Linked DNA regions of Styela clava. The protein of the gene in region 1 interacts with the protein of each later gene in a biochemical or structural test. Links are inferred from orthologs where the notes say so. Each region holds a gene or a part of one and is shown in the gene's direction. Other genes may lie near its edges.

Region 1 (15,686 bases):
CGCACAAGTGCCTTGTCGCAAATTGTAGCAGAAAAGGCGTCCGCTATCCGTCGCAAACACGACATCCTAGCTGGCCTTCGGTATCTCTCGCAATATACAACTTTTTACTCGTCACATGTGCACGCACTGCTTCGTTCGCGGTAAATGGTGCCTCGAGATGAAGTCACATTTTCTCTAGATATTGAATAATCTAATGTCGAGAAGCGAGCTTTTTCATTGCGTCGTCTATTACAATTTTCATTACAGATATAGCTGAGACATATAGACACATCGGAATTATGTTGTAGTGCTTGGTTACGTCATCCCACAATTTGGTTACGCCATCAGACAATTTTGGTTACCCTGGTCCACAATTCTGTTCCCACATTTTAGTTTAGCGTGCTGCAAATTTGATTAACGAGATTGGTTTTGATGTAAAAGATCGTGGTATTAGTCCCATGTCTGAATTCATTAGGTATGCCCTGCTAAAAATCCCCTAATCGCTGTAAATATATGCACGAATAAGCCTATGACCACCGCGAAATTGTGGGATGGCAAATTGTGGGCTAGAGTAGCCTTGGTCATACATAGGACTTATATAACCATACCACGTTGTGCGAATCGAGGCATCTGTTTAACACACTGATTCACACGAACAGACAAACAAATGATCAACCTATTTCAGTATTTATTGTTACAGCGTTAAATCGTAGTAGTATATATATATTTACGGTTAAAGTACGGTATAAAATGAGATTTATTGACAATTTAAAGATTATTGAACCCCACTATGGTACAAAAATATAACAATACCTTACACAAGACAAACACATAGGACGGAAATCCAGGAAGGTTGTCGAAAATTAAAATGAGATTTGAAACATAAGACATACTTTTTTCTTTTGGAAATTTCGACGTCAATTTCAATCGCCAGCACGATTTAACCACGCAAAAATAGTTTCAAGTACGAAAGTACATTTTTACTTCTCGCTGTCGCAGAGTGGCATATGGAAGTAAGGTCGGGCGAGCCTCGTTCATTCATTCAAAAATAACAGGGCTCTAAACATTGACGTATACACCTCCTCACCTCATTGCTCTGAGTTCCATGAGACTCGATATTTAACAAAAAAAAATCCACGGGATGCATCTTGATTTGTGCTAAACGGCCATAGGGTGGTTTGTGTGACCGCTGGTGGTTTGCGTGACCGCTGGCGAGAAATAATCGTTTTCGGGTCTAATAATGGAATATTTCATGGCGTGTTACTAGATTGCTGCTGACTGCCCCTATCATAAACTAATCATGTACATCAGTTTCCAAACAACATTATTCAACTTTGCATTAATGCCCTTATCCGACCTGTCATAACGTTCCTTTATATTGTTCATTGGACCAGTAAATTAGAATAACTTACTTACAAAACTTACTATCAATTTTTGGCAACGCCTGTCAACGCGAATATAAGAATACATACTGACGATGCCATTTTATCGACTTTTTGTTAATTGTCAATAACTGGATAGATATGCATATAATCCATGATTCGGCTTATTAACTCCGCAGAATAATCAGAGTCGCCTATACGACTGTAGCCTGCAGGGATGTTGCAAAAATTTCAGAAGTTGTCGAAACATGTAGAATTGTAGAAGTCACCAAAGTCCGTCGGGAGAGATAATATATATACAAACTGTTAATAGTTTCAACCGTTCTATGTTGGTTGAAAAGGCGAGATATGCAACATTTAGCAGGCTGAGACTGTATTAACTACACTATTACCTCTATTCGTACGCAGTAATATTTTTTTGGTTAAAATTTTCATAAAACTTTCACGTTTATACGTTGAATATTCTTTACAATTGAAAAACTAAAATCAAAAGAAGCAATGTCAACAAATGAAACAATACGTGGCACGGAAGATGATCATGATTGTGGAATTTTTCAGTAAGTATATTATATACCAGGAATGGCGAACCACTGACCCGCGGGTCACAAAGTGACCCACCGAGTTTTATTCGTGACCCGCCAATGCACAAATAAAATAAAAAAAATGCTATCATATCAGTACTCAAAATTGATAAAACCGACCTTAAATTAATTTAACAATACTTGAACTATTATAATGTATCGTCAGTTGGGCAGTCAGGGCTGCGATCGCTCATATTCAAATTATTATTTATTGGTCGGTATGGTAATTTTCAAAACCCCTAATCTTTGACGCATGTCTGCACCGCTGTGTACCGTTTTTCAGCTATTGGCTCTGATATCGTTTTTGACATAACAACGCAATTGATCTTTTCATTTCTCGCAATATTTTGTCTCTTTCGGAAGCGCATCTGCAGACTGTTTTGGGGGTTATACGAGAGCTAGATGCTACTAAGTTGCATTTTATTAGTTTCTCGACTACAATACCGTTGAAAAAAAATCATTCAGACTCGGAATAAAAACTTAGAAATCTGAAATAACGATGGGGAAGAGTAAAAGTGCTTTAATGTGGTTGAAAGCTGTTCGAAAAATATAACACTATCAGAGTGGAATTCCCTCCAAACTCTTTGGAACCGTAAAATAATTTTCTTTATCATCCTTAACATTTTTGGTAATTTATATGCGTTTTTTCGTACTATAATTTCATAAAATCGAGTGCCATAAAAAGTCCCTGCTAGAAGCGCTGCATAAGTGAAGCCCAAAACTACACCAACACCAACAAAAGCTTATAAGATTTGTTTCAGAAGTTTCTTACAGATATCAAACTTTGATTAAATATCTGTGACCCACTCTCTTCTGCTCCGCGACCCATTTTTGACCCATTCATTGAAAAAGGTTCGCCATCCCTGTTATATACAATGACATGAGCCACGCGTGAAAAATACTTCTTCCCATATCAGTCAGTTTTTAACCGTTCTAGTCGGGGTAATTATTTAAAAATATTATGCCGCAATCACTTCAAAGTTGTGCAGCGTAATAAATATGACCTCGATTACAAATAAGACATTGAATACAAATCAAGTGATAATAAATGAACATAACTATACTATTTTACAGTACGAGTCTACCATGGGTGGCACTGGCAGTTCTCGTTGCACTGACGGCTTACTTTTTCAAATATGCGAATGTGAAGGTTTTCAGTAACAACAGCTGGGGACCTTGGCAAAGGAATCAACAGACAGAGGAAGCTTGACATGGAAAAACTATGTTTTTTATTCATAATAACATGCCATAACTTGGGTAACATGTATATAAATCTGTTATTCGGTGAATAAGGTTCTCCTCCAAGTATATTGAAGATTGAATTATCTCTCGTAATCCTGTTTCAATCCTCTATCAGCTTTTTTCAATTTGGACAAGACGCTCTAATCGTCGGCGTACTTCCATTCTACTGAATCGATTGACTGAACCCTGGCTCTTAATTAGTCTATCACAAAGTACATAATTGTCGTGTCCTTCTAAGCAATACGTAATAGTTTTTGTAGTAGCAATTTTTGTGTTGAATTTGTGTCAATCTTATTTTGATCTGAAATGACTTCCATATTTTCTTTAACTGACCGACTTTAATCAAATGACCTCAACAGTATTAAATCTTCCATGTGTCTCGAAATAGTGTCGACTCAATTTTATCCATATCGTTTTCATAATATTTAAATTACATCGTATTTTTATTACCGTATTTTTTTCTTCTTTTACTGCCACATGAATGTTCAAAATACATTGAACTTGGAGGGCCAGGAGCCTCGATGACTTTCGCCGGCCTTGTAAACTGACCAACATAAATAATTTAATCCGAACTGTGAGTTTTATGTTCGGTATTGCATATATTTGCTTGTTGGAGTTTGTTGTTTTGCGAAATAAAATTCTCTTGTATGTATGTATTCATTAGCTCTGATAGCAACTATCTACTGGTTTTGGGGAAACTCGCGCCATGTTTTCAATGTCCTCGTAAAGGGAACGTAATGGCTTGTCTCGAACTCGGTTAAGCACCTGGGAGATTTTCCTTAAGACTCGAAAAAAATTGCTAGTGAGCCTGGAGAAACCAATCCGGAAAAGCAAGATTTTCTACATCGATTGATGTCATTGAAATTCATTAGATTGTTACAGCAACAAATAGGAAGTGATAATACCGATGTGAATACTTTCGATTACTAGCTTAAATAGTAGTTAGATTCTTGAAATAAAAAGTTCAGACTTACAGTGTCAATGTGACTCATAAGTATTGATTTCGCTGTTGTTTATGATTTTTTTATGACTCGAGACTCGTTTTGCAAGTCGGGACTTGACTCCTTAAACTAGGGAGCGCTGCTTCTCAAACTCGGATAGCCTGTGAATTGAATTTACTCGCCGTTTAGGGGTTGCAATCCGCCACTGCTTATCCACTGTTTGATTTGGGAGACTTACTCAATGTTGCAGTTTTCATTGTCTAGTACTTCTGAGTTTTTTCAGGGCTATCCATTGTATGTCGTCCATAAATCAGTATCAAATCAATGAAAATATTTGGGTTATTCTGCCGTAAATGACACAACGCGAAAATCCGCAACATGCACCCGAGGCCCGGGTCGAGTAGTCACTGAAATTCTAGTAGCTGATATTTAGAATTTATTCTGGTTTGAAAGTATACGCAAATAATTATACATGTGTATATAATTTAACGCATGGGTGGGCAAATTACGGCCTGCGGGCCGGATCCGGCCCACCTGGGTTTTCATCCGGCCCACTTGTGACTGCTGAAATTATGACTATGCTTTTGTATGAATATAAATTTCCGTTGAAGGTATCGATGATATAAATTGACATTCCTTCGAAAATATCGATAACGGATCGTCAGCTAAAGTAAATACCTTAATTCCCTACGCATGGACGTTTCTCCGACCATCGATTTCCTCGGTTATTTCCGTAACAATGACAAAGCAGCAAAAAGTTTACGATGACGTAACAATTAAAATTTTTGCAGCCGCTTAGACACTGCAGTTGCTCAGACAGATATAAAAACATGGTTGTAAACATTGCCTAGTTTTTGAGATTTTGCGTGGTATTTGTCGGTTTTTAGTTGCGATTTCAAAAATTAGTTGTAAATGATGTATTTTAATTGTCACCATGTCTTTCAGTTAGCTTCAGTTTAGTTGCAATAATCAAAAATTAGTATCCGGAAAACTGCGATAGACTCGGCTAAAACGATTAGTACGTATAAGCGGCACGTGGTTGTATATTTTGATAAAATTGAGAGTTTGAGCATGTAAATCAGTTTGTAAGCGTCAACTCTTTAAAACACTTGAAAAATAGGCATCTACACTTTTGCAGTAATAAAGTATAGGGAGAATTTTTTGGTGTCAAGGGTCTGGAAAAGGTCCATAAAAAGCACCTGAATATAATGTGCAAAATCATTCATCCGAATTATTTATGCCATTCAAAAACTTTAGGCCCGCAATTTTTTTTCGTGAATGCCCCAACAATTGGGCAATTGAGCATTTTCGAGGATAAGGAAAAATCCTCTGGCCCAGTAACCAAGTCTAATATCCGCATCCGGCCCACTCAGGAAAGTAATTGTCCACCCCTGCTTTAACGTGTCAGCGAATGATATAAACTCTTCTATATTAAAACAATGAACAAATTGTAATCGGCGTAAAATGGTGATAGAATTCATAACCAGCAATGCCATTATAAGTTCTACGATAGAAGTGACCGACAGACTTGATTTATAAGCAGGGAATCCACACCGTCCTTATTCCTGAGATTTATTCTTATTTTTAGCTTGCGCCCTTATATTTGGCTTGCTTGTCTTTATTTTGTCTTATTTGGACATCATAAAGGAAGCTTTGTGTTGTTTGTTTTATCGCCAAAGATTTATTGTGGCATCATAAAAGCACACATTCTTATTTGGAACACGAAAAAGCAAGGCACAGATAGGCATGAAGCATTGTTAGTGTGGCGATCCTTACGTTTTGTCGTGGTGGTGGTGGTTATTTTAGCCTAAATTTCAAAATGAGCAAATGTAAGAACGTTTTTGGTGAGTACAGGAGTAGCCTACAGGAAAAAATTCAAAGTTAAACGAGGCTTGATAGATGAGTGCTTTGCACACTGTGACGTCTGTAATTGTGACATTAGCCTGAAGGCCAGGAAAGCAAGCTATTTCTGCTCACAATGCAGGAATTTTTCCAGTCGTCCTTATTTTGGGTTCCAGATCGATGGAATCAATGTTTATGAGTATAGGATTGTTTTGACTTCATAATCAGATGAAAGACGGTAATAAGACAATAATTGATGAAAACAGATAAATATTTGATAAAAACAATCGATTACGGAATCAGAAGGGCGAACAAAACCTTGAGTAAGGTTTAAAACGTACATTTTTTTATTGAGGTATTGTCAAAAGAAGTGGTAGCCTACGCGTTTGCTCAAGACTCTTGACACGCATACATACAATGATGCAGACAAAATAATATCAGACGAGAGTAAAAAAGACACAAGATATATTACTTGGTAAAAAGAGAAATATATATACAAAAACATGTATTAATAAAAAAAATTTTTGCCTTACCATATACCGTATATATTAATAATTTTGTAAGGATTGCCGAACTGGATACCGATTTAGTTGACAGGAGTGAAATTGTAGAAAAAAAATTCTGAAAAGATATCGTCAAGCTGATTATAGTTGGAGTCTTCTAAAGCCAAATTGCTAAGTTGGATGCATGAAGAGGTGGGCTACACTTTACTCACCAAAGCCAAATTCACCAAGTCCATATTATATCAAATATAGTCATAGTCAAGTTTATTTCTTCCCATATCGTGAATCAGTGTATGTAATTATAATTAAAAAATAAAATAAAATAGGGCAGTGTGGTACTGAGGTAGGAGAATGAGTTATGGGAATATACAGGTTATCAAAGGTTGAAGCAAGGTTTTCATATTCATCAATCAGTTAATTTTATTTGGTCACTCTGATAGAAACAAAACAACAACAAACGGATGTGAGACGTGTATTTGTAACACAACAGTGCTTTTCCTACAAAACTATGGAATAAAAAACACTCGCTGACGTGAAATGGTGATGCTGAGCGCCTAGTTCAATTTCATTGCAGAAATAACACAGTGACAAAAAGTGTTACTAAAAAACAAGCTCGGTAAATAGATTGAATGTTCCATAGCAGTCTATGCACAAATCATGGATTGGGATATCGGGTCCTTTTGTCGTTCTCGATAAGTTCAATTTAAAATCATCGTATCCGTTCCAATGCTTCCAACATCAATATCGAATTTCCACGAACGACCACAATTGCAACAGGTGCAGCGGTCCCATCTTTTCACATTAATTTTGGACCCGAAATTATAATAGAGGTTGTCGACTACTAGGATGAGTTCAAATTTAACATGGATGATTCATCAGTCTTTGCAAATTAAATCGATGTGGATACCATTATTGTTGGACAAGTTAGCTGTTGCATTGATTTTATCATCGCGAGACGACCAGGAAAATGAAAGATGAATCTGCGAGTAGAATGTTTAATGGCATATGTATGTGATTATTGTTGCCAGGTTCTATAGTTACTATTGAATTATCGCACACATTCCAATTTTTTTTTTGAGATTAAATAAAACTATCAGGTATAACTTTTTTCTAATGAAATTACAAATGAGCCTGCATAAAAATACAACAAATATAATAATAAATTCATTATATGAATCCTAACGGAACATGAATATTACTCAAGGAAATGGCAACATTGATATTTCGCGCGGTAAAAGGTTCCCTGTATATATTTTTTTATAATCCGTTTGGTTGTTGATATGCATCCACTTGGCACGTGTTATTATTGTTCATCGCTCAGAGTACAGAAATAGCCTACTGACTTCCCCTTAATTCTGTGTTTGCCGAAGACATACCCGTAAACTTAAAGAAGCCTGCGACATCATGCCTTGCATAGAGAACTGGCAGAAGAAACCGTTAAGCATTGTTCAAAATATTTTCGGTGAGTACCGTAAAAGCGCCTAACTTCGGACAGTTCCTAACTTCGGACAAAATTTTTGAACGGCCATATCTTGGCTAAAACGGGGCATATATTGCTAATTTCAAATATTATAGGTAGCGCTGTTATATCTACATCTATTCTCATCTTTTTAATGTGGCATTATAATTTTTTTGGTACAAAAACGGCAATTTTGCCGAAAATTGACTGCCCGGCATTCAACGGCGCAGAGCGTCGCTCCTACTAAAGCTATCATCGTCAAAATACCATCATTCGGTAGAGGGCGATAACAATGTATATAATTTATTTGAGTGATCGCAAGATGTCGTACGAGATTTAAATAAAACCTAAAATTCTGAATTATAAATTCCGTAAGAATATTAAGATTTCACGCAGCGTCAACAGTTACGTCAACCTCACGTAGATTATTTTTCGCTCACTTCCGACACGACGTCACACTGCGTCGCGGAAATGAATTTTGACGCCAGACACAACGGCGCCAATATGACAATTTTCGTTAAGATAAAGACGGCATTCCAATGTAATATTTTTGTATTTTGTTCGGTCCATGTGTGAATATATGCCAAAATTACATTAATAAAAATACATGTCACACTTAATCGATGACGTTAAAAATCGAATATATAAAACTGTAAAAAATCAAACGTCCGTATGGCACAGTGTACTGACTTAACAATTATTTTATGATTAGTAGTCGAAATGACAGTTATTTGAATACGGCCTGGGTGAATTTTATTCACTCGAAGTTAAAAATCAACAAATAAACGGGACTTATATGTTAACGAAATTAGGTTGAACTTTAAATTAAACTTTACAATCGGATTCACCGTGTGTTTGATATAAATTATCACTTATAAAGATTACCGCGCAGAATAAACCAAGCTATCCGTCGAGAATATTAATACTTCAAAGACTTCGATAGAAGCCCGTTAAAATATTTCATTGTGGATTGAAACGGTTTGCATCAGATATATTTACGTATGTATTTCCTGATTAAAATGACTAACGTGTTGTAATACTTATCTGACGTAACGAACGAAAGATGTAAACATAGGACGACGGAAGTTTCAAATAATGCATTTTCGTCGTGACGTTAATGTTACGTTACGACGACGATCGAGCGTCTTATCTTCACGCAACGACGTGATTACGTCATCCGCATCGGAAGCCTCTCTCTCTGAGCGTCGCGGTTACGCAGTGAAGAAAATGACTGTCCGAAGTTAGGGCAGTGAATGATAACGGTCAGATGGCAAGAAAAATAGATTATTTCAATAGTGAAAATAGTCCAATTGAACCGAAATTTGCAGGGAATCTAAATTACCGCACGAATGTTTTACCGAGCAATTTTGGCACCGTTTGGACAATAAATGGCCGAGTTATTGACGAAAATATAGTAATTTTGTCCGAAGTTAGGCGCTTTTACGGTACGATACCGTAACCTGGTAACTGGGTCTAGCGACTGAGCGAAGTAGGTACACGCCGTACGGTACCGGTAACTATATAAAATGGCACCAAACAAAATTGTGACTTGCATTTACCGCTGAAACTGCTTCATTAATGCCAAACAGAAATGTGATGTGAAATTTTTAGGGTTGGTCCATGTAACCGCTGGTTGGTTAGGGCTTTCTCCACTATCAAGTCCATGCTGGCATGCGTCTGAAAACAAATAACTGGCTACCGCCGTACCGGTACCAGGGTACCGCCGTACCGGTACCAGGGTACCGTAATAAATTTCATTCAAAACATGTATTACAAATTTCTTGCTATCGACTAGGTCTTATTTTAAGGGGAGGGCTTATATTAATATCATATTGAAAATTCAGGCTAGGTACCATTTTCGGGTAAACACGGTAGCAACAGACCAAACAAGATCTGAAGAATAACATACCCTAATACAGTAATAATACTGTAATATCTACATAACACTGTTATATTTGCCGCTCAAATGTTTACTGATGTTTTAAATCTATAGAAAATCGCAGTAAAGATGATTGGATCTCAGAAGTTGCAAAATATTTTGAATCACGTTTGAGTAATGAAGAAAATATATCAGTGGTGAGTTATGGCAGTGTTGTAGTCTTATATGAAAACTTGTTTAATTTTCAAGCATGTTTAACTCATAATTTTGTAATTGTTATAGCTTATCTATCCGTCTGTGCAGTCATTTAAATGTGACAAATAGTATACCGGTACCTGTAATATAAGCTTTTGTTGGTTGTTTTGTTCATTAGGCCTACTGCATAATCCGAATCAATATTTTCTAAATCTCTGAAATTCGAACCATGGTTCTTACCTGGATCCAACACCCAACACCTTCCAGATTAATGAATTGAAAATAGAGTTCAGCATTTGATCGCTTGGTCTTATTTACGCTGTATGAAAAGCAGATATTTTGGTCAATATATTTGGAATCAGAGAGTATATTGTTGTACTTTTTTGATATATTATATATACTATCATTCCATATGTGATTGCAGTAGCCTTCATTTTAAACTACTTAGATACAAAAATTTAACACAGTACTGGATAATTTTAGCACGCTTCTCTTTCTACTGTTCTAGGTTCCTTCTCTCAATGACAAACCGATTCATGAAATTCAGCCTAACTGTCTCGTTAGATTCAGATGTATGGTGCAAGACACATTCGACAATGAGTTTTTTCTCGAAACCTACAATATCACAGATAAAGTGAAGGGTGAAACAGTAAGTTGTAATAATAACTGGTATCCACTACCATAATTACCCAGACTGGGTTCAGAGGTACAAATCCAGTGACGAATAATTCGTGTCCGAGGGGATTTTTGAAACTGAACAAGCGGAAATGGTAGCCTTATGATTATTTTATCCTATAATTTATAAACAATCCTATCTGCTGAATAAATATGAAGGTTCTGTAATACAGTGTAGCATCTAAAATAAGAGCTTGAACATTACTTAAGTTGATAAGTGATAACATTGAGATATTGGAAATATTACCAGATATTTTTGTATGAAACCATATCAAATTAGCTAACTATTCCTATCTATTTACCTCTAGTATAAGCATGAATTTATTTTTTATTTTTTACATAAGTTTGCATGATAATAAAATTTTTTGCATTGAATCATCAACTCTATGATTCATTCATATTGTTTTTGTTTGGCTTGTCTAGGTGATGAAGACCAGTTGCTTCCAGGACTTGATTGGACCAGTGAGTATCAAATTATGTCAATATGGTATTTGATTGAAGGTTCAGTTTCTACAAATAAGTTTTTTTTCTCTCTGTTGGTAGTAGGCTAGTTTATAGTACAGTGCTAATGTTAATTCATTGATGGGGTCTGGTCCTGTTGTTTTTTAAATGGGTTGTCTACACTCTTACTTAGGTATTTCAAATCGATTGATGAGGCATAAATTGATTTTATCAATATGACAGCTTTTAATAATAATTGACAATATTGTCATCTAAACTTTAGTATATTATATTTATTATGCGACAATATGTGCGTGGATTCTTATAATTGACACTGATGTTTGCTAGACCTGCAATCACCTGATGTTTCTACCTTTATTTTTTGCAGGGTGATTATGACATTGATATGTCTTCAGATAAAAACAAGACAGGAATGAGACAAATTCTATATTGTGTATCTATACCTGCAGAGACAGATTGGGTTAAAGAGGTGAATTTTAACATTGGATCTGCTTTCATATTACTGACATTTACAAATTGCAATATCCACATTTGATCAAATACTCTGATGATGGAAATTGTTCAAAATTTTAGATATTGCTCAGGATGCAACAATACCTTTTAAAACTTTTTTGGGTTACCTCCGTAGTATGTGTACCAGGTTAGGGTTAGGCCATAATTTTATTCCGAATGTCCTTTAGTTCTATAACGAGTTCGGGAACTGTTTGTTTACCCCCTGCCCATAGGCTTCCGTCCCTTTGCACACTTGATGTGAAGTAGGCGAACAAAATTGTTTATCTCCATATTGGTACACATACTTCTGGAGCGCCTCTTCTGTATGCTATTTTTATCTATTCCCAACAAATTTGTTGTTTCTAGTCATGGAAGTCAGTGTTCACTTCAACCAAACCAAACAAGGAAGAACCAAGTACGAGTGGACAATCAATTAAAAGGAGCCGTGATGAAGATGATGACACAATGACTGTTGAAGGTAATCTGTTTTTGACATGTAATTGTTTGGTCCTGTGATTTGATTCAATTTAACATATGTAGTTTTTATTATGTAATGGTTTTATAATCACTACACTTAGTATTGCATACTCTTCAAGCTGTCTTATTCAGGAAATTGATAAACTGATTGTGGCTAAATGATAAAAAGGGGTAAATGCCTTTTGGTAATTTTTAAGGACTTGTTTTTTACACTTTCAATCTGAAACAGGGCTTTGTAGAAACAGCACCTAACACAAAAGCAACTACTATTTTTATAATATCTCTAATATTTCCGGTTCTTCTCGCTCAATTTACCACATCCTAGGTGAAATGGCGGGCATGAGATTTGAATTCGAGCATTTTGAATTGCGGCACCAATATAGGCCAAGTGTTCTAACCAATAGATCGTCAAACCCACATGTTTTGATGCTCCCATCAGTCCCATGTCTTCCCATTTGTGAATCAAAAGCCTTAGCACAAAATAATGGTCATGTATAAATATAATATTATATATCTTGATGATATTTCAGAAGGCAATAAAGATCAAGGTGATAGAGATTTTGGAAGCAACAAGAGAGCCAAGCCTTCTGCTAATTCAGGTAATCTTTTCTTCTTCAATTAGAATCATTTCTGCTTGGTGCTTTGTGATTATTCATGGTGGTGAGTCTGGTGATCTCTTTTCGAGGATGTCAATCTTTTCAGTTAAAGTAAAAAAGTAATTAAAACTGAAATATCTAATTGATGCTACTCGTTATTTCATTTTAACTTAGAATACAGATTATTAAAATTACTTTTTTCCTATAAAACCACTACTATGATTTGTGTTATCTGTTTGAGAATAAGAAATCGGCGGTGAATATATTGAACATGATTCCATATTTGATCTATGTATTCTTCTTTTATACTTCAAGGAAGGAGCAGTAGTGCTGCAGAACCATTGAACAAGAATCATCCTTTACCTGATGAAAACGGTCCTGTTTGTCTCGTAAAAGTTTATGATGAATCAGCTGATTTTAAGGTAAATAAATCAGATTGAATTTTTAAAATTAATGTAAAAGGTATTACTAGGCTTTTAGAAAAGTTAGAATTATATTATCAATTCTGATAAGAGCGGTTGAATTTTAGTGCCTTGCTTTATACTTAACTTTTCCCAACAGGCATTTTGACAGAAATGGTCTGAATATTGGCAACTAAATTGAAACTAAAAACGGGGCTCCCGAAGTATGCGAACCAAGATGACGGACATCGGAATGTAATATGTGTGCTAGGTTTGGGTTAGGCCATAATTTTAGGTATAAATACTACGGGAGGCTCTTGGCTAGTCTTCAAACTGATAATAGGACTAAAATAAGGAAAATTGGAAAAAAATTATCGCTTAACTCTAACCTGTTACCCATGTTACGTTCCGATGTCCGCCATCTTGGTTCGCATACTTCGGGAGCACCCTAAAAACTGCTTAAAAACTGTTTTTATTGAACAATGATACCCACCGTCATTGGCAATGTTTACAGTCAAAGCAATTTGAATTTGCATTCGGAATGTTGGTATTGTTCTTTTTAAGGTGAATGAAATCATAGAGTTTTATGGTGTATTATCGGTCGATCCTGAATTATCAAGTATCTATGATGCACAAACGAATGAAGAAAATGGTATGATTTTTGTGATTGAATAACTCTTACTATCATTCATTGAACAAGATTTACATATTATGTGTAAGCATCAGTGTTACTATAGCTCAAGGGTAAGCCTATGTAAACCTCACGGGTTAGCAATTTAAAAACTTGAATTTGGGTTAGACCAAGCCAGCAATTTCAATCATTGAAAACCTTATAGCTTGCTGATGATGCTTGCTGAATTTGATTTTGATCAGTTTCTATGTTTAAAAATTCACAAGTATGCAGCAATGATCACATGAACAATTGTTAATGTATAATTGCTTGAATTATTTATGGTAAGTAACTCTATTTATACGAAGAGACTCATAACTGCACATAATTCTGGGCGCTCAAGAAGTATGTGCAATAAAATGGCGCACAACCTGATAACCATAACCTGGTACACATACTATGTTCAGTCATCGAATGAGTGAGAAAAACTTCTTTCTCTGCTCTGATCCCCCTCCCTCTATTCTACTGAGCCTGTCGCACTGAATAGGCTCTATACTTTTAGGTACATGCTCATTTTTGAAGTCTCTGACAATTTTGTTAATATTTACCACCTTGTTCGATTCCAGGCATGTGTGAAATGGATGTTGGAGATGCAGAAGAAAAGAAAGCCCATCATCCTCCAGCATCAATTGTTCCAAGACTACATGCTTTAACAATGAGGAGATTGAATCATGATAATCCTATTCTTCCTATGGAAATTCTCCCAGAACAGAGTATGATACTATTTGTTTCTCGCATCTATTTGGAAAAAAACATGACTGAGTAAAGTTGACAACGTAGATAGAATTGATGAAAGTAAAATTGTTTCAAGTCCTAATCTTGGTAACTCTAAGTTTGCTCAGACATGAGTCTTCTTGACTTTTGAGTGAGTGCGAATGAGCTGATTCTTTTGAAAAAATTCTAATTTTACTAGAGTCTTCTTGACTTTTGAGTGAGTGCGAATGAGCTGATTCTTTTGAAAAAATTCTAATTTTAGATATCTGTTTACCATCATATATTCTTCTATCAGGATCTCAGATGCAGAAAGATGCCTCAACCGTTCGTAGTTGTCTTTTGGGATTACTTGAAAAAGCTTTGTTGGGTGATTCACTTGCTGCTGAATATTTGTTGTTGCACTTGATTTCAAGGTTGGTCGAATGATAACCGTTTCATTTTTTTCTCAAATTTTGCCATTGCTTTCTGGTGTCTTTTTACTCAACCCATGCTTAATTGAGAAAGTATGGTAAGTTTGGGGCTGCTAAATCTAATATCAGTTTTGCCTCAGATTTGTACTGCGCCCTAAAATGAGTACATTTTTATTCATATTTCAGGGTGTATTCCAGGCGAGACATGCTTGCTTTAGGTAAATTTTCACTTAATATTTCTGGTATTCCACCAAATTCAACATATCCTAGGATTTTGTCCAAGTTTTTACAAGATTTAGTGACAAAGGTAAGCTTTGTTTCATATCTTTCTACTTGATAGTGAGAAAGTTTTATTTGTTTGTGGTAGAATGCATTCGAATCAATAAACCCACGCAGGCTGATCAGTGGAACCATGGCAAATGTGGTCATACTGCTTTGCACTATGGATCTACCATGACTCCATGAGGCCGTTGTTTGACTGATTCGAGTTATGCAAAATTGACATCTTGCTCTCTGAGTTAAACATTCTTTTATATGTGGTTTTATGTGATGAAAATATTGAAATGGAAATAAGAAATGAAAAATAATTATCAAACTTTGCTTTTATCAGGGAATTATCTGACTTGTGCGCATGTGTAAAACTTTCTATGTTAAGGAATAGTGATAACTTAAATGTTTTTTTGATTTATTGGGAAACGGGTAATATTAACGGAAAATTATATAACAATATACTGCAATTTTGATATACGGTAATCTATAATTAGTTAGTTGTTGTGCTTGAAAGGA
Region 2 (15,964 bases), on another chromosome or scaffold:
TATTTATGGCCATTTTCATAATAATCTGAATATAGAAAAAAATTCTTAGACACGAAAAAAACATATCGTTTTACAATACTGTTGTTTGTTACTGTTGTTTGAGGATATTGTTATCGTAGTTGTTAGGAAAATTGTTTTCCGCGTCATTGCGTTTATTTTTTTCTTAGGTTTAATTCGACGGGAACCGACATTTCATCCATTTTTAACTTTATTAAACTTGAGTAATACAATTGTACTTCCTATAGGCGTCGTCTAAACAATAGTCAAAAAAGGCACACTGGCTTACTTGCTTTTTGGAGTGGGCCTAGTTTTGCATTGAATTTGGAGAGAAGCGGCCTCAAGCTTTTTCAAATAAGACTATAATGCAAGAACTCCCAACTAACGTTTTAGTGATACAGTACATGAACGGTAATTTTCAAAGAACAACTCACGATACATTTACGCCATTTCTTACGAATTGTTATAAATACGTATTTCAAACAAATATAATGTTCGTACAGATTTTATATTTTCAATATGGATGTACAAGGACTCCGTCACTTCACTTATACTAAATTCTTATTCAATACTAGGGCTGGGAATTTTAGAGAAAACACTTTAACCGTTAACCGGGTAAAATTAACCGGTTAACCGCCGCGTGACGTTTGACGTAATAATTATAATTTCAGCTTGTTACGTCACAATGGTTATAAAGCAATTTCGCGTGGTCCTATCCCGGTATCGCTCAAAATTATTCACCAATCGAGATAGTTTCATGATTCCTCTGCTGCAAAAGATAGGCATCGTGGTACGGGCATGTGGAAATATTTTAGAAAACCCTATTCCGTTGTTAAACTCATTTATGTGACAAATTTTTAGTGTTCGATGTGCAAATTCTACTTCGAGATATATATATCATAAGAAAAACGCCATCAACTGCACACTTGTTGTATGATTTTGCAATGAAATCGTGAACAACATATTTCGAAATCGACCGAAAACTGATTCTGAATTTATCATTGTAAATTTTCATTATCAGCAACCTTGGTGCTTCGCCAGTGGCGGCGCGTCAATAGGGCCAACCGGGGCAATGCCCCGGTTGTTTTTTCGGTATAATAAAAAATATTCGAAAAATACCTCAATATCGATTGCACAGACTGTCTACACTAGCCATATTCTCCCGACATGGTTCATTTTTCGCTCGCAAAGCCTTCGCCGAACGTCGACGGGGCGACGCCGATTTTGCCCTGGTTGCTAATTGTATATCGTATTCTCTCTTTTATCTTCCACTCGCCACGTTTGTCTCGTTTGTTTTCTGTTTCTTTTACTAAATCATCGGGGCTAGCCCCGAAATTATGACGACACAATGCTGACGTTTCTTACAACAACGTGTTGACATATTCACGCATAACTTCTCGTTCGTTGGTTGCTTGAAGAGTTGATAGTTTCTTCGCCTCCGTTTTTGTCGCTTGTTTCGCTATTTGAATCAGTTAGAGACCTTTAGTCCATTTGCTTTCGATTTTCCACATTCCTTTTGAGCTCCTCACTTCTTTCCGGCTTCGCATTTCTTAGCCTTAGACCTCATAATGAATAAGGTTGATGCACTACTTCGCACTCCGTTTTCGCAGCTGCCGCTGGAACAAAAATTAGAGGTACAACGTCCTGGGCCTTATCAACCAAAAAATTGTTCACTGGAACAATCCCATGACGGAGGAAAGCGTCGGCGTACATTCTGCGCAGAAACTTGGTATAAAAAAACACGAATGGTTGTGTTACAGCGAGGACAAAAATGCACTTTTTTGTTTTTATTGCCTACTTTTTGCTACCGCCCGTGACTCACGTTGGTGTAAATTTGGTTTTAGAGATCTTAAACATCTTTCCGAGCGTGCCAGGGATCATCAATCTTCTATGGAGCATCTGGACAATGCAGTAAAATACCGAACATTCGGAAATGTTAATATTGCAGCACAGTTGGATGAAGGACGCGCGGTTTCTATTCGTCGGCATAACCAAAACGTCGAGAAAAACCGCCATGTTCTCGGTCGATTGATAGATGTTTCATTGGTTCATAGAAGTTCATTGGTTGTCACGAGCTGTCCCTCCGTGGACACGATGAACGAGCTGGCTCTTCTAGTAGAGGGGTATTTTTGGATATGGTGGAATACACCGCATCCCTAGATACAGTATTGAGAGATCATCTTGATGCCGCAACTGTTTCGAAAGGGACATCTAAGGATATCCAAAATGATTTGCTCGACTCAATGTATAAAATTTATTTACAACATTTGGCTCTGGAAATTGAGAATTGCCAGTTCCTTTCGATTCAGTCTGACGAGACAACTGACATCACGTGCGTTTCCCAACTGGCTGTGATTTTTCGGTTTGTGAAAGATGGTAAACCTACCGAGAGATTTCACAGCTTTGTACCAATCGTTGATCGCACGGCTTGCGGGATATCGTCTGTACTGAAAGAAGTGTTACAGCCTTACAACGCGAAGTCAAAATTGATAGCTCAAACTTATGACGGCGCGGCAGTCATGAGTGGGTCGAAACATGGTGTTCAAGTTTATATAAAAGAAGATTTTCCTCATGCGCATTTTTTACATTGTTATGCACACCAATTTAACCTCGTTATTAAAAATATGTGTCTTGATACCCCTCTCGTCCGTATATTTTTTGCAAATGTTTCGGGGTTTTCTTCATTTTTTTCCGTTTCCCCGAAGCGCTCTGACCTCCTTCGCCAGATATGTATCCGCCGTCTCCCAGCGTGTGCACCAACACGTTGGAACTTCCAATCACGCGTGGTGCAGGGCGTGTCCGAAATTAGGTCTGAGCTCATTGAGTGTTTCAATGGCATTCAGAGCTCTCCGGTTTGGGACGAACGCTCTGTGAGGGAGGCGGCAGGTCTAAAGCGTCTGCTAGAACAGGGGTTCTCAAACTTTTGATGTCGTGGAGCCCTTGAAATTGTTGACTATTATTCACGGAGCCCCAAAATAAATGTTAAAATTGTAACTTCCAGATTTATATTCTTGAGCAAGTTAAAAGTACTTTACTCAATTTAAATGCTGAACCTTTTTTAATAGAGTTAATACAAGCCATAAATATATCTAAATTTCAAACATAAATTATATATACTAAAGCTGTAAATTTGACACTTGACAAACATACTAATAAATTCGGGTTCGAGTCTTTTCCCTTTTGACATTTTTGGAAGACTTAAAAGGCCGCTAATAATGTGCGCGATTGCATTTTGTTACAATCGCCGATTTTTTCCTCAGCATGGCGGCGTGTATTTGAACCTACAATCTTTACACCGGTGTTTATTCTCCCTAAATCCAAAATTGCCCTCGGCATATATATACATGTATTGTTACACAATGACGACGTTCATTGCTTTTTTGTTCTCGTGGGGAATTATGAGTTCAATGTGAAAAATATGTTACCATTTTATAGTCATCGGCGACGAACTGCTGAAAATAATAATTAATGAAGAGGTAGATCCGCAACTCAAATTTCTCGATTGAAAAGCGGCATTCCAAAATATTAAAACTTAAAATGAAAGTTCACACGTTTGGTTTCAGCAGACTCACCTCAGATTGAAAACGCTTTTATAGACATAGTAAATCACAAAATTTGCTGTTATGTTAGATTTTCATCGTAGTAACTGCGAAATCGTCATTTGTGCGTGCGTCAATTGTGCGTGCGATGTACCTTTTTTACCCATTTTGAAACTGCCGACGGAGCCGCACGCAATCAATTGTGCGCGCGATCCGCGATGTATCTTTTTTCATTCTGAAACTACCAACGTAGCCGAATGCAATAAAATAAATTTCATTTGTTCGTATTTTGCCCAGACATTGTGATTTTTTAAACGGCGATATCTTGCTTAATAATAATCTCAAGTACGGAAGAACAAATCAAGTTTGACAAATCCCAAGATCGCAAATATACGACTCCAATTTATTTATAGTTGGCAGTTTATCACATATTTTATGTTATTAGAATAGTATTCTTTCATTTTAGTAATCCTAATAGTAATCTCGAATCAAAGGTGAATAAAGATGAGCACAATTACATTATAACAATGAGACACTTTAAATGCTCGCATCGGTCATGGATTGAATATTTTACGCAACAGAAATCTCTTCATCCGTTTTTTAATCGCGAATGTTGCGCAGAAATTGAACCACCTCTCTCTTAAGAATCCTGGCTGCGCTCCTGCTTATAGATAATGTCATTTTTTAATTCCGTCTCTTTGCCATATTTCGAGGCTATATTGTTGTTAGATTTTATCAAAGCTGTTATTTCTTCTTTGAACAATTACAAAATTAGTCAGTATTTTGAAAAGTAATCGAATAGCTCGCGGAGCCCCTGGGTTTCTCTCGCGGAGCCCTGGGGCTCCGTACGGAGCACTTTGAGAACCTATGTGCTAGAAGATGGTCAGTTTTCATTTTTTCTCGCTTTTTTCCTCACAATATTCTATCACGTGGATGTATTATACGGCGCATTGCAGTCAAGGCTAATGGAGGGAGCGTCTGTGCAGTCGTGTATTTCAGACTTCTGCGATGCTGTATCTCGTATCCGGGAAACAATAAAATACGACGACACATGGAGTGCTTCTTTACGCCGCGGGCAAACAACGCAGCGTTTGATTTTGTCTGCAAAGGAATGCTGTGACATTCTGGTGAATCAAATAGGCGATCGTCTGCGCACTGAACACCTTGCCGCGTTCTCTTTGATGAACCCCAAAAATGTTTCAAAATTTGCACGTCAATTTCCCATCCATTTGTTGGCTACTGTCTCCAAATTTTTCCCCATGATAAACGTGGGTAAATTGGAAAATGAATTGCGATGTATATACACCAATCAAACTTTTTTGAACATCACATCAACTTGCGCGCTCTATGGGTTCCTCATAGATAACACTCTAGTAACTACCTTTGCGGCGTCTGCAAAATTTCTGGACATCATTTTAACGACGCCTATTTCTTCCGCCGACGCAGAGCGAACATTCAGCACGCTGAAGCGTATTAAAACGTATCTCAGAAACACAATGAAGCAAGATAGATTAAATTCCTTGGCTGTTTTATCCATTCACAGAGACGTTATTTCTGGGATGCATGACTTTAATCAGCGCGTTATTGAGCATTTTGCTTCCAAGAAACCGCGGCGTGTTGCATATATGTTCAAGCAGTAGAAGTCTAGCAGCATATATATCTATGAGTGAGCGACGCATGTCCTTATCTTTGCATTAGCTTTCCTTTCTTCATAGTAACGTTTTAAACCTTATTTTAGGTTTTGTCTGCTTTCCCGAAGTTTCTGTTAATATGTCATTGTATTTATCTGGGTAAATATTGCCTTTCCTTTTGAAAGAGGTTTCAAAATAAACTATGTCTATATTTATTAATCCCTTGACTTGGACCGGTTTTAAAGACACTTATCGTTAAAAATTGTCGCTTTTGCCGATTGGTTGTTACCGATGGAATGGTTTTTATACTCATAAAATGATGGGAGAACTTACAGCGCTCATCCTGTCCCCGTAGATGGGGGTGACTTGGTCCCGCAGTAGCTTGCCCCGGTTGTCAAAATGACCACGCGCCGCCACTGGTGCTTCCATTATTTTTCACATTTATTGATTCCTTACCCACACAGTTAGTAATATTTTTTTGAATTAAACGCCGCAAGAGATAAATTTGCGATGACGTAATCATATTTGACGATATTGTGCGGTATGAAGATGGTTTGTACCTGAGATGTCAGTTAACGGTTAAAATAAAAAATAACCGTTAGCCATCTGAAATCGGTTAACCGGTTAACCATTCCCAGTCCTATTCAATACTTATACACAGAAAGCGCTTGTTTTCGAACATTATATTATACTATAAATAAGCTATTTCAATAAATATAAGGCTCGAACAATAAGGCTCGATCATATTTATAACCATTATATATGTATGATTCGGTACTCTACTCTTCGGTACTATATGTATATATATATATATTCTGGTAATTTGTAACCGCCTGCCGTAACTTGAGAAGCACAGATTTCATTTTTATTTGAACTCAAAGGTAAGTTATTGAAATTCAGAGATCCATAACAGACGATTTTAAAGTTATTTTTCCAACGTATTAAGATTAGGGTGTGCCGAATTAGTAAATCTTGCCCATCCGGCTGATTTGTACTCATTGAAGTGAGACATTATCAGAAGGCGACGATGTCGCTTGAGATAAGTAGGCTACCATAAATGCGCGGAATCCCTTGTTTGTCTTTAAACATTCGAAATTGAAATTGGCTCATATTGCAATAAATTCTGCAATTGAGTTTACACGATGCAATCATTTACTTATTGTGGCCATGCTGGAGTCGAAATCTATAAAAGATATCAAATTTATGCGAGGTTACGCAAATTTTTTTTTTATTGCTGAATTGAATCAACGATAAATAATAGTTTTATTCCCTCCATTGGAGTTTACAAAATGAGTAGGCTACATTTACATGTGATATAAGTGGGTCGGACACCCTGAAAATTTAATATGGGTGTTAAAGCTATAATTATATATATATGATTTAGATTCAGATATTTCATTTCTATCGTGCAAGAATCTGACGTCAAATGCGGCTTCTTGAAAGCTATGAAGATTTATGAAACTCTTTATAAACTTCTTGAGATTATATAATATATATATATATATATATTGGTATATATTAATGAGTGCGAAGAAGGCGCACAAAAACAATATCAATTGGATATTCAAAGTTTTATTCTGAACAATGTGAATGATTGTTCAATGTTGAACTTGTTTTAAATGAGAAAAATCGAACCTGCAGAGGGTTGAGGACATGAAGGACCAGTCGCATAGGCCGTCACATCTAATCCATCTATTTTGTCCAGCATAGTTGGTTTCTCAAATCTTTCTGCCGTAGCGTATTTTATTCCACGAAACATCGCGACGTTGTATTGAGATGTTCCGTAAAACCCTCCCATGTTGATGTTCTCTGATGGGTAGCCTAGAATTTCCACACCTCCGTCAAACTCAAAGGAATTGAACTTGGCTGCTGCTTTTAGCATATCTAAATATCCGAGTAAATATGAAACAATAATCAATGTTAATTAGTTACGCAAAAGTAAACAGTGAAAATAATACATAGCAAATAAATATAGCATACTTTTTGCAATCTATGGCTACGAATTTTTTTTATAGGTTCTGAAGTTTGGTACAACCAAAATATTAATTCTTAGAATGTCGTGATTATCAGCGAACTAGATTTGTTATTAGAACCGTAGGTTCGGAATGATTTTCTGAAATTACCTGTTTACAGTGAGCTCGATACAAAAAAGAAACTGTTCTAAATTTCGAATTCCCATCACTGACCGAAACCTATGTTTTCGCACTATGTTTGAAGTCTCGAAAAAAGTTTAAACAAGATACTGATCATGGCTCAGAACAGAAATTGTTAATTTGTGATTGTGAGATATATATTATTACACATATTTGGGCACTACTGGGTCATTGCGGTCACATATATATTATGCATATACATATCGAAATGTTGGGGAAAGGTGATGTATACTGATTGGAAATTGTGTAACCATTGTATTCATTATGTAGTTAAAAAATTTCAAATGATACTAGTTAATAAAGATAATAATTACATGATATCACATTAAACTATTAGTTTATTCAAATTTATTATTTTTATTCTGCCTACCTTCGTATGATACTTTAGGAGGTTCGATCAACATTGGATCAATGTCATTTGCTGTTAAAAAATAAAACCCGGGTGAGGTATAAAATATACATTGTAACAGTAAACAATAAAACAGCAGGGTAAGGGCGGGGAGGGGAGAAGGAGCATGAGAGAACAAGAAGGATTTGAAGTAAAAAAGTAATTAGAGCTATATATACCTGATATGAATGTACCGCACATCAGAATCACTGCAAGCAGCTTCGCAAATCCAGACATGATTTTTTTTATTTATAGCCAAATTATGGCAACTTTATTTTCTTCCTAAATCACAATCACAAAAAATATTTCGTCGATGGACAAATGATATAGCACACTCTTCAGAACAACGACAAAAAATGAAGTGGCTTAAGATTCCCTTTAATGAGGCCTAGATAGCGTGAGAGGATGAGTGTTTTACATAGAAGTTTAGCGCACCGTTACATGGGGGCGTAACAATAATCCTCAATGCTGATATGCTTATTCATGTGCACTCAATAGAGTATGTTGTCATATCAAATGAATGGAACTTGACCGTTAAATAATCTAATCGCGGTTGGGTGTTACTCCATGAAATAATAATAATGATAAACTCGTTGTCATAACAGTCCACTTACTGTCTAAAAGGGGTGTCATTTGCACTCGTTCAATATGTACATTGTTATATTCTGTTAATTTGTTTTTCGAGTGGGGAAAGACAATTACAATGATGTTTTGAGCTTTTTCACAAAACACGTTCAAAGGATTTAGCTGTACACAAATCTTTAATTGACCTGGCTAATTGGTAAATACACTCAAAAAACAATCCACGGAAATTTTGTGCTTTTCACACAAAAAACAAAGAAATTCTTTTTAAGAAATTAAAGCCCCAATTTTATTCTGTTAATGAAAGTATTTAATAACGAAAGCTATCTAAGGACAGAAACGGTTCGTGGCCCCTAAACACGTAACCCACTGAACCTATAACATAAACTGAAATGTTAGCTAACGGTATATGAATCCATGCTCAGACGAGACAGATTGTTTTTATAAACAAGAAGCATAAAGAGACAATGTATAACGTATAAGAAAAAGTTGAAATGATTTCGTTCGACAAAAAAAGAAATCGTATAAAATCAATATGTGATGTAAGGAACGAAAAGCAACATTTAATCGTGATTCGTGGGTACCAATTTTCCGCGTTGGCCGTTACCTATCTGAAATTCGCTGGCCTAGTTAAATTTTCACTCACAGCTAACTTTGCTATTTTGAACGAGCTTTTCGAAATATAACGATATGTGGTAAACGCTAGCTACGATCGTGAGTTGCATCAGAGATGACATTGCTGTGTTGCTATCACCAACAATATGGTGCAATAATATACAATATCATCATGAATTTTAACTTAAAAATAAATGAAACAGGAAAAAATACGTTATGTATCTAATGATGAAAAATACTGAGAAGGGGAGCTGCAGAAAATTTCACGTTTCATGACCTATAGGTGCTTTCATGAGCTTTTACGAGAGGGTATATCGTCGATCGCTCCTTGCTACAGATGTTACTAAACTTTGAAACTGACGTCATATTTGCTTTTTTTTCCCTACAATCACGACGTATTTGAAAATATGTGTCTTTATTAACAGTTAATTATAATATATTCACAAGAAGGAATGGTCCAATGAATTAACAGAACAAAAATTAACTGGCAATCTACTTTTACCATTTTATAGAAGGTGCAGAAATATTATATGACGAAGTGAAATTAAATGGCGACGGCTCTGTCTTCACGCATGTAGCTCTCGCGGTACGCTAAACACGTGACATCAACCCCGCGAAAAATCAAGGCCTCAGTTGTTCAGAGCCAAGACAGCTAGAGGATTGATTGTTTGTTGTGTTGTTTCGTAGGGCGTTTGTATTTTGTTTTTCATTTGGTATACTTATAGAGCATTATATTATCGTCTTGGTTATGGCTTCTATGACTGGTTTCGATGATCCTGGAGTTTTCTTCAGCGATAATTTTGGAGGTCAATCTGAGGATCAAACTGATAACAGACATGTTCAGAGAACGCTGATAAAAAAGAAATTGAGGGATTTCTTGAGAGAATTTCATGTTACAATTGAAGGCGGAGTCACCTATGCTTACAGGTATTATGATGAACATTTACCTTTTTGATGGGGTTACTAGAATATCTGAATATGTTATTCTGGTTATTACGGTATTTCATACAGACATAAGTTATGATAAATATGTAAATCCTATCCAAATGCTTGAATGCCTCAATCTTAAAGATTTTTTGCTTTATCACTTTTCTGTCTGTCTGTTTGTGCAATTGCAATACCGGTATTGTATTTGTTATGTAAACATTGAACAAGTACTAATTGTTAACACTCTGATACTGCATTGTAAACCTGCCATTTCTGCATTTACATTTGAAAGCTTAGTCATTGTAGCATTACCGACACCGTAATATAAAAAATTTTGCTAACATTCTAACATTTGTAATTAAGACTCGTAGCTGTATGCAGGTATGAGTAGATGGGTGAATTGGGTATTTATAACAGCCAGAATAAATGTATGTCCCATCCTCTAACTAAATCTTATCCTAATGCAGTAATGCAGTAATGACTGAATGATAAATGAAAATAGCTATTTGGATATAGGCATGGATCTATTTTACATTTGCAGATTTGATCAAATGAAAAAAATCAATTAAGTTATACTGAAATAACAAATTCCCAGTCATTTATCATGTCAATTAGTGATTAATACGGTTGTATGTCCTAATTTCTGCCACAGTCGGATTCAAATCTTTATTTGTTTCAGAGATCAACTAAAAAGAAATTACAATCTTGGAGAATATTGGGTCGAAGTTGATCTTGGTCACTTGGCGTCTTATGATGATGACTTAGCAGATTGTTTGATGAAACAACCCGTCGAATATCATCCTTTGGTATAAAAGATTTACTTAACTATTTCAATTTGGCAAATTAAAGATATAAAAAAAATATGAAACTGATGGCTATCATCTCACCTGGTGTAATAAATTCAGCATGCGATGCCAAACTGGGAAAAGTTTCCTCCTTCCAGAAAAGTACCTTTTTAAATAACGGTGGCCCAAATACATATGAAAACACTTAATTGTTTATCACTGCTCATTGTCAAGCAATAGTAAATTTTTAAAGACACATGACTGAGATGGGGCGTTTATATATAATATAGCCTACATTAATACTGTGTTCATTGAGAATCGAATTTTGATTTCAATCTTGACTCAATTATTAATATTTCCAATTTTTTCACATATTCACATTATCATACTAGCTAAAGTGAAAAAGCATCATTATAGGTTTCTTTAAACTTTGGACATCTTTAATAAAGCTGAGAATATTTAAACTTTGTCTTTCTCTTGAATGGCTGGAGGTAACAAGAATATGAGACTTAAGTTTAATGCAGCAATTTTGCTTATTATTTTTATTCTGTCAATTGTAGTTGATATCAAATTTAGAATACTATATTTTTTCTCATATATATCACTGTGTGTGTTCACCTTATTTAGTTTGAACAAGCTGCAAAGGAAATTGCTGATGAAGTCACTCGACCACGACCAGAGGGGGAAGAAGTTGTTCATGCGGTACAAGTACTTCTACAATCAACGGCAATTCCAACTTCTGTTCGAAGCTTGAAGGTATTGAAATATTGAGGTTTACTCAGCATGAACTCATATCAACAGCCTTTTTGAATATTTATAAAACTTTTTTAAGAGTTATGTCAAAGATATGAACAAAACTATGGGTTCAAACTAGACTCTTAATAAATTTTAAATTCAATAGATTTATTTAATCATCTTCATTAAATGTCATTATTCACTTATTGTTCTTCTCAGTATGTTTTCCACTACTTGAAAAGTATGACAATATTTGCTCTGTCTATCATGTTTTCAATCGATTGAAACTGTATATAATATTAGCTGTATTTTGACAACACTTTGTCATATCTTTGCAGGCTGACCAGATGTCAAAGCTTGTCAAAGTCCCAGGAATCATTGTTTCAGCGACAGCTATTCGAGCAAAAGCGATTAAACTTGGCCTCCAATGTCGATCATGTCGAGCCACAATAAATGATGTTATAGTGAAACCTGGTTTTGAAGGATATAGTTTACCAAGAAAATGCGTAACGTCAGTGAATATTTTAGTTATTGCATTTTTCTTTTTGATGCTATATATATGCCATTCGGTATTACCCTGTGATACAAAAGCTATGCTTTGGCGTCAATGTTTGATTGCTCATCATTCTTCTAACATTGGACTGGGATGGCATCCTATTCTACACTTTCCAAAGTTGGGAGTCTAAGTTCTCATATCTCAAAGTCTGAACGAATTGAAAGAAAATTAACTTAGAACTAGTTCATACTTTATTCATTAAATTTCAGTAGTTAGTAACTCATTTTCAATTTTTTTACATCAGCGAGGCACAAGGAAGAGAACCCTGTCCACTCGATCCATTTTTCATTGTTCCTGAGAAATGTGAATGTGTTGATTTTCAAACCTTGAAGCTTCAAGAAGCACCAGATGCCGTACCACAGGTGAATAAGCTAAAGCAGATAGTCTACAAGATACATATTTGATTATTATATTTTCTACACATTTATTTGTTCCACCATCACCACCTATTTCTTCAACAGCAGTCTGCCAAGAATAGTGTTTTTTCATTGCCTGTAACAGGTCAAACTAAAGACTACAGTAGGCCTGATTATATGTTTACCTATTAAGGCTATTCCGGCGAACCACAAGTATTTGATTACAGTTATAATCAATCATTTCGTAGGAAGTTAATCAAATTTTGATTCTTTAATCAGATTTATCTGTTGATTTATATCCAATTTCTGAAATTTTATGGGATAAAATTTTTATTATATATATGCAGTACATACAGTTGCTCCACTCAACATCTCAGTATCATAATTTTGAGTTACTCATGGACATGCAATCGAGAGTGCAAAGTAATTTCTAAAACCACTTCGTTATTTTCGAATTAATCTGACTCACACTGGACTGGGTTAAATGAACATGATATTAACAGCTAGTGTGTCTCGACTCTTTTTTTTCACAACCCTAAAAAACTAGGTAATTGTGAAATAGGCAATAATTTAGGCATCCGGTTAAATTAGAATGCAATTTTTTGTAAAACATATTTTTACAGGGTGAAATGCCAAGACACCTGCAACTATATATTGACCGCTACCTCTGTGACAAAGTTGTGCCAGGAAATAAAGTGACTGTGATTGGAATATATGCCATACGAGGATCATCTACAAGTGTATCATCAAAATCAGTAAGTTTGTGTCTGAATAAAATTTATTCAAAATGTGTAGTGTTTTTTTTTAACTATCAATGTAACAAATTCCCCAGAAATACCAATAACTTCCCGGTTTGGTAATAACTAATAAGTTTATAATAAGATCATTAGTACTGCATGGTTGGCAATGTCATTAAAGATTGGGTACTCCAGTAGTGTGTCTACCAGTCACCATGTTAGGGTTAGGCCATGATTTTATTCCGATTTTCCTTATTTTAGTTCTATTATGGATTCGTGGACTAACTGTGCTAGCCAAGTGAATATACCCTTTGACCATCGGCTTCAGTTCCTTTACATAACTTGATGTAAAGTAGGCGAACAAAGTTAGTTACGTCCATATTGGTACACACACATCCGGAGCGCTAAAGATTGTATATATTAATTCGTTTCTTATTGTCTTATTAAACCGGATCTGACCAGTTTAAGCTGGAATAATGTACTTACCGGTAAATAAGGATATATTTTAGTGTTTTCAATAAAAGCCAAAATCTGTTTTGTTCACTGCTCTTATTTTCAACCATTTATACCTCTTCACAATCATAGAAAAACATGAAAGCGAGAGGTGTTGGTGTCGGTATCAGGACACCATATCTTCGAGTGTTGGGTGTTGAGGCTACTGCTGGAGCAACTGGACACAAAATGGGGACTTCACTTACTGCTGAGGAAGAAGAAAATATCAGACGATTGACACAAAATCCCAACATATACGATGTTATCAGTCGGTCGATCGCTCCATCAATCTTCGGAAGTGATGGTAAGTTTGCACTTGTAATAAGAACAAGAAGGAATGTTATTTGTTCTTGTGATGCAAAAACTTTTAAATGTATCAGGAATAGGAAGCTTAGTCAGCTTTGTACATCCAGTACTAAATGATTTTTTGGAGTGTGTTTGGAGTATTTTCATTATTAGGCCTCAAGTATTTTGCTGACCTGTACTGAATTTGGGTTCTAGTCAACAATCCCGTAGTATGTGCAACAAGATGGCGGACACCTGAACATAGTATGTGTACCAGGTTAGGGTTATACCATAATTTTATTCCAATTTTTCTTATTTGAGTTCTGGTGTCCGCCATCTTGGTGCATATACTATGGGAGCGCTGAGTTTTTAATACTGAATCCTTTATCGTACTACCAATCTTGTTAAGTTTTCTAATCATTATAAAATAGTTACAATGAACCAAAACTGAAGAGGCCCATCTAGTTGTAAATTCTAACCATCATTTTTTTCATCATAGATATGAAGAAAGCCATAGCTTGTCTTCTGTTTGGTGGATCTCGTAAACGACTTCCTGATGGATTGACGAGAAGAGGAGATATAAACTTATTGATGTTAGGAGATCCTGGAACAGCTAAATCTCAGCTTCTGAAATTTGTGGAACAAGTATCACCTATTGCAGTAAGTTATAATCATTGTGATATCAGTATTTTTGTTGTAACTTGTATGCTCATCTGTTTTGATGAAATCGCCTTTATTTTGTTGACTGTTGCTAGGTGGTTTATTCCAACATACTAATGAGGATTAAGGGGAGAGGGAGATCCCAATTATAAATACGAATATCCTCGCATATAAGACGACCCCTTAAAAAAACAGCACTAAAACAGTGAATTCATAAAAATTTGCATTAAAGCCGACCCTACTCGCTCCTTTTAAAATTTCTTAATTCCAGGTCTACACGTCTGGAAAGGGAAGCAGTGCTGCAGGATTAACCGCTTCTGTAATAAAAGACCCGAGCACAGTGAGTTGCATAATCTATCACACCCCTGTTACTTTTTACTGGTTCGGTAAACATATTGAGTTTCAATCATGTGCGGTAAATTTGATCGCCAATTTGACTTGTGGAGTTGATTAATTTGAAATCTTTGTTTTGCAGATGTAATTATATATATATGTAAGCCATTGGACGGGTAATAATCCGACCGAATGTGATTATGTTGAATTGACTGTTATGTTTTCAGTAATCTACTATTTAATGTTTTTATTTTGCAGAGAAATTTTGTGATGGAAGGTGGTGCAATGGTTCTCGCAGATGGGGGTGTTGTATGCATTGATGAATTTGATAAAATGAGAGAGGATGATCGTGTTGCTATCCACGAAGCCATGGAACAGCAGACTATCTCCATTGCGAAGGTTGGAATGTATACGACATTATTTGCAACAATTGTTAATCATATTTACGCATAATTTCTATTTGATTGGTATTGCAAAATGTTTTAGTTTTATATCTAATATTATATGCTGGTTCGGTGTAGTTATTAGTTACTGAGAATTTTAACTTTATTATTTATCGATCTTGATCGGTAAGTATGTTGATAGGTATTTGTCTGTTTGTTTGTTTGTCTGATAGATACATGCAATATCTCACGAAAGCGAGGTTGAATCTGCTCCAAACTTTGCATATGCATTCATATCTCGGACCAGAAGCCTATTGATTTTGGATGAATTATGTCGTATAATTAGCGAGTTATTAATTAATAAGTGACGAAGAGATCTAGATTTTTGCAAAGCGAGAGAACGTGTATGACCTGGATTTTTTGAGGCGAGAGCGTGCATGTGCTGAGTGTTTGTGTGCGATGCGCAAGTTTCCATCGAGAAAGTTTCCACGCTATTGAGTCTGAGCGATGGATACACATACACTTGTCACACCACTAAAACGATAAATCGGCGATCTCTGATCGCTATCTCATTTGGTAATTACTCCATTCAAACTATAGTGCGAATTTGTAAAGTTAAATTGTCATTATTATGCCTTCAGTTGGGTATATTTCTAGATCAGCAGATTTGTATCCAGTGTTCCGCTACCCACGACAGTTCACAATCAAATACCTTTTAGGTTTGCCGCTATTATCAAACTTGCTATACTCTCGAAGATCATATTGTTTTGCTATTATTAGATTTGCTTTTATATATATATTTATAGTTTG

The links.
Region 2: the proteins of mini-chromosome maintenance complex-binding protein-like (region 1) and DNA replication licensing factor mcm5-A-like form a complex in vitro, tested with the Homo sapiens proteins (2 studies listed by BioGRID). The link is inferred for Styela clava from reciprocal best matches to the Homo sapiens genes MCMBP and MCM5.

Annotation. Positions count from the first base shown.
Region 1 is NC_135258.1:12,522,843-12,538,528, reverse strand, and holds the start of mini-chromosome maintenance complex-binding protein-like, read left to right. Parts: upstream 1-7,751; 5' UTR 7,752-7,874; coding exon 7,875-7,932; intron 7,933-9,922; coding exon 9,923-10,005; intron 10,006-10,511; coding exon 10,512-10,652; intron 10,653-11,101; coding exon 11,102-11,140; intron 11,141-11,507; coding exon 11,508-11,609; intron 11,610-11,998; coding exon 11,999-12,110; intron 12,111-12,639; coding exon 12,640-12,708; intron 12,709-13,020; coding exon 13,021-13,127; intron 13,128-13,670; coding exon 13,671-13,758; intron 13,759-14,342; coding exon 14,343-14,489; intron 14,490-14,785; coding exon 14,786-14,903; intron 14,904-15,086; coding exon 15,087-15,207; intron 15,208-15,686. UniProt on the Homo sapiens protein: Associated component of the MCM complex that acts as a regulator of DNA replication.
Region 2 is NC_135255.1:15,595,313-15,611,276, reverse strand, and holds the start of DNA replication licensing factor mcm5-A-like, read left to right. Parts: upstream 1-9,528; 5' UTR 9,529-9,653; coding exon 9,654-9,832; intron 9,833-10,511; coding exon 10,512-10,638; intron 10,639-11,244; coding exon 11,245-11,373; intron 11,374-11,690; coding exon 11,691-11,863; intron 11,864-12,152; coding exon 12,153-12,270; intron 12,271-12,887; coding exon 12,888-13,019; intron 13,020-13,586; coding exon 13,587-13,797; intron 13,798-14,277; coding exon 14,278-14,438; intron 14,439-14,709; coding exon 14,710-14,778; intron 14,779-15,029; coding exon 15,030-15,170; intron 15,171-15,964. Other genes in the region: neuroligin-4, Y-linked-like, read right to left, coding at 1-25, 6,803-7,051, 7,691-7,741, 7,888-7,945. UniProt on the Homo sapiens protein: Acts as a component of the MCM2-7 complex (MCM complex) which is the replicative helicase essential for 'once per cell cycle' DNA replication initiation and elongation in eukaryotic cells.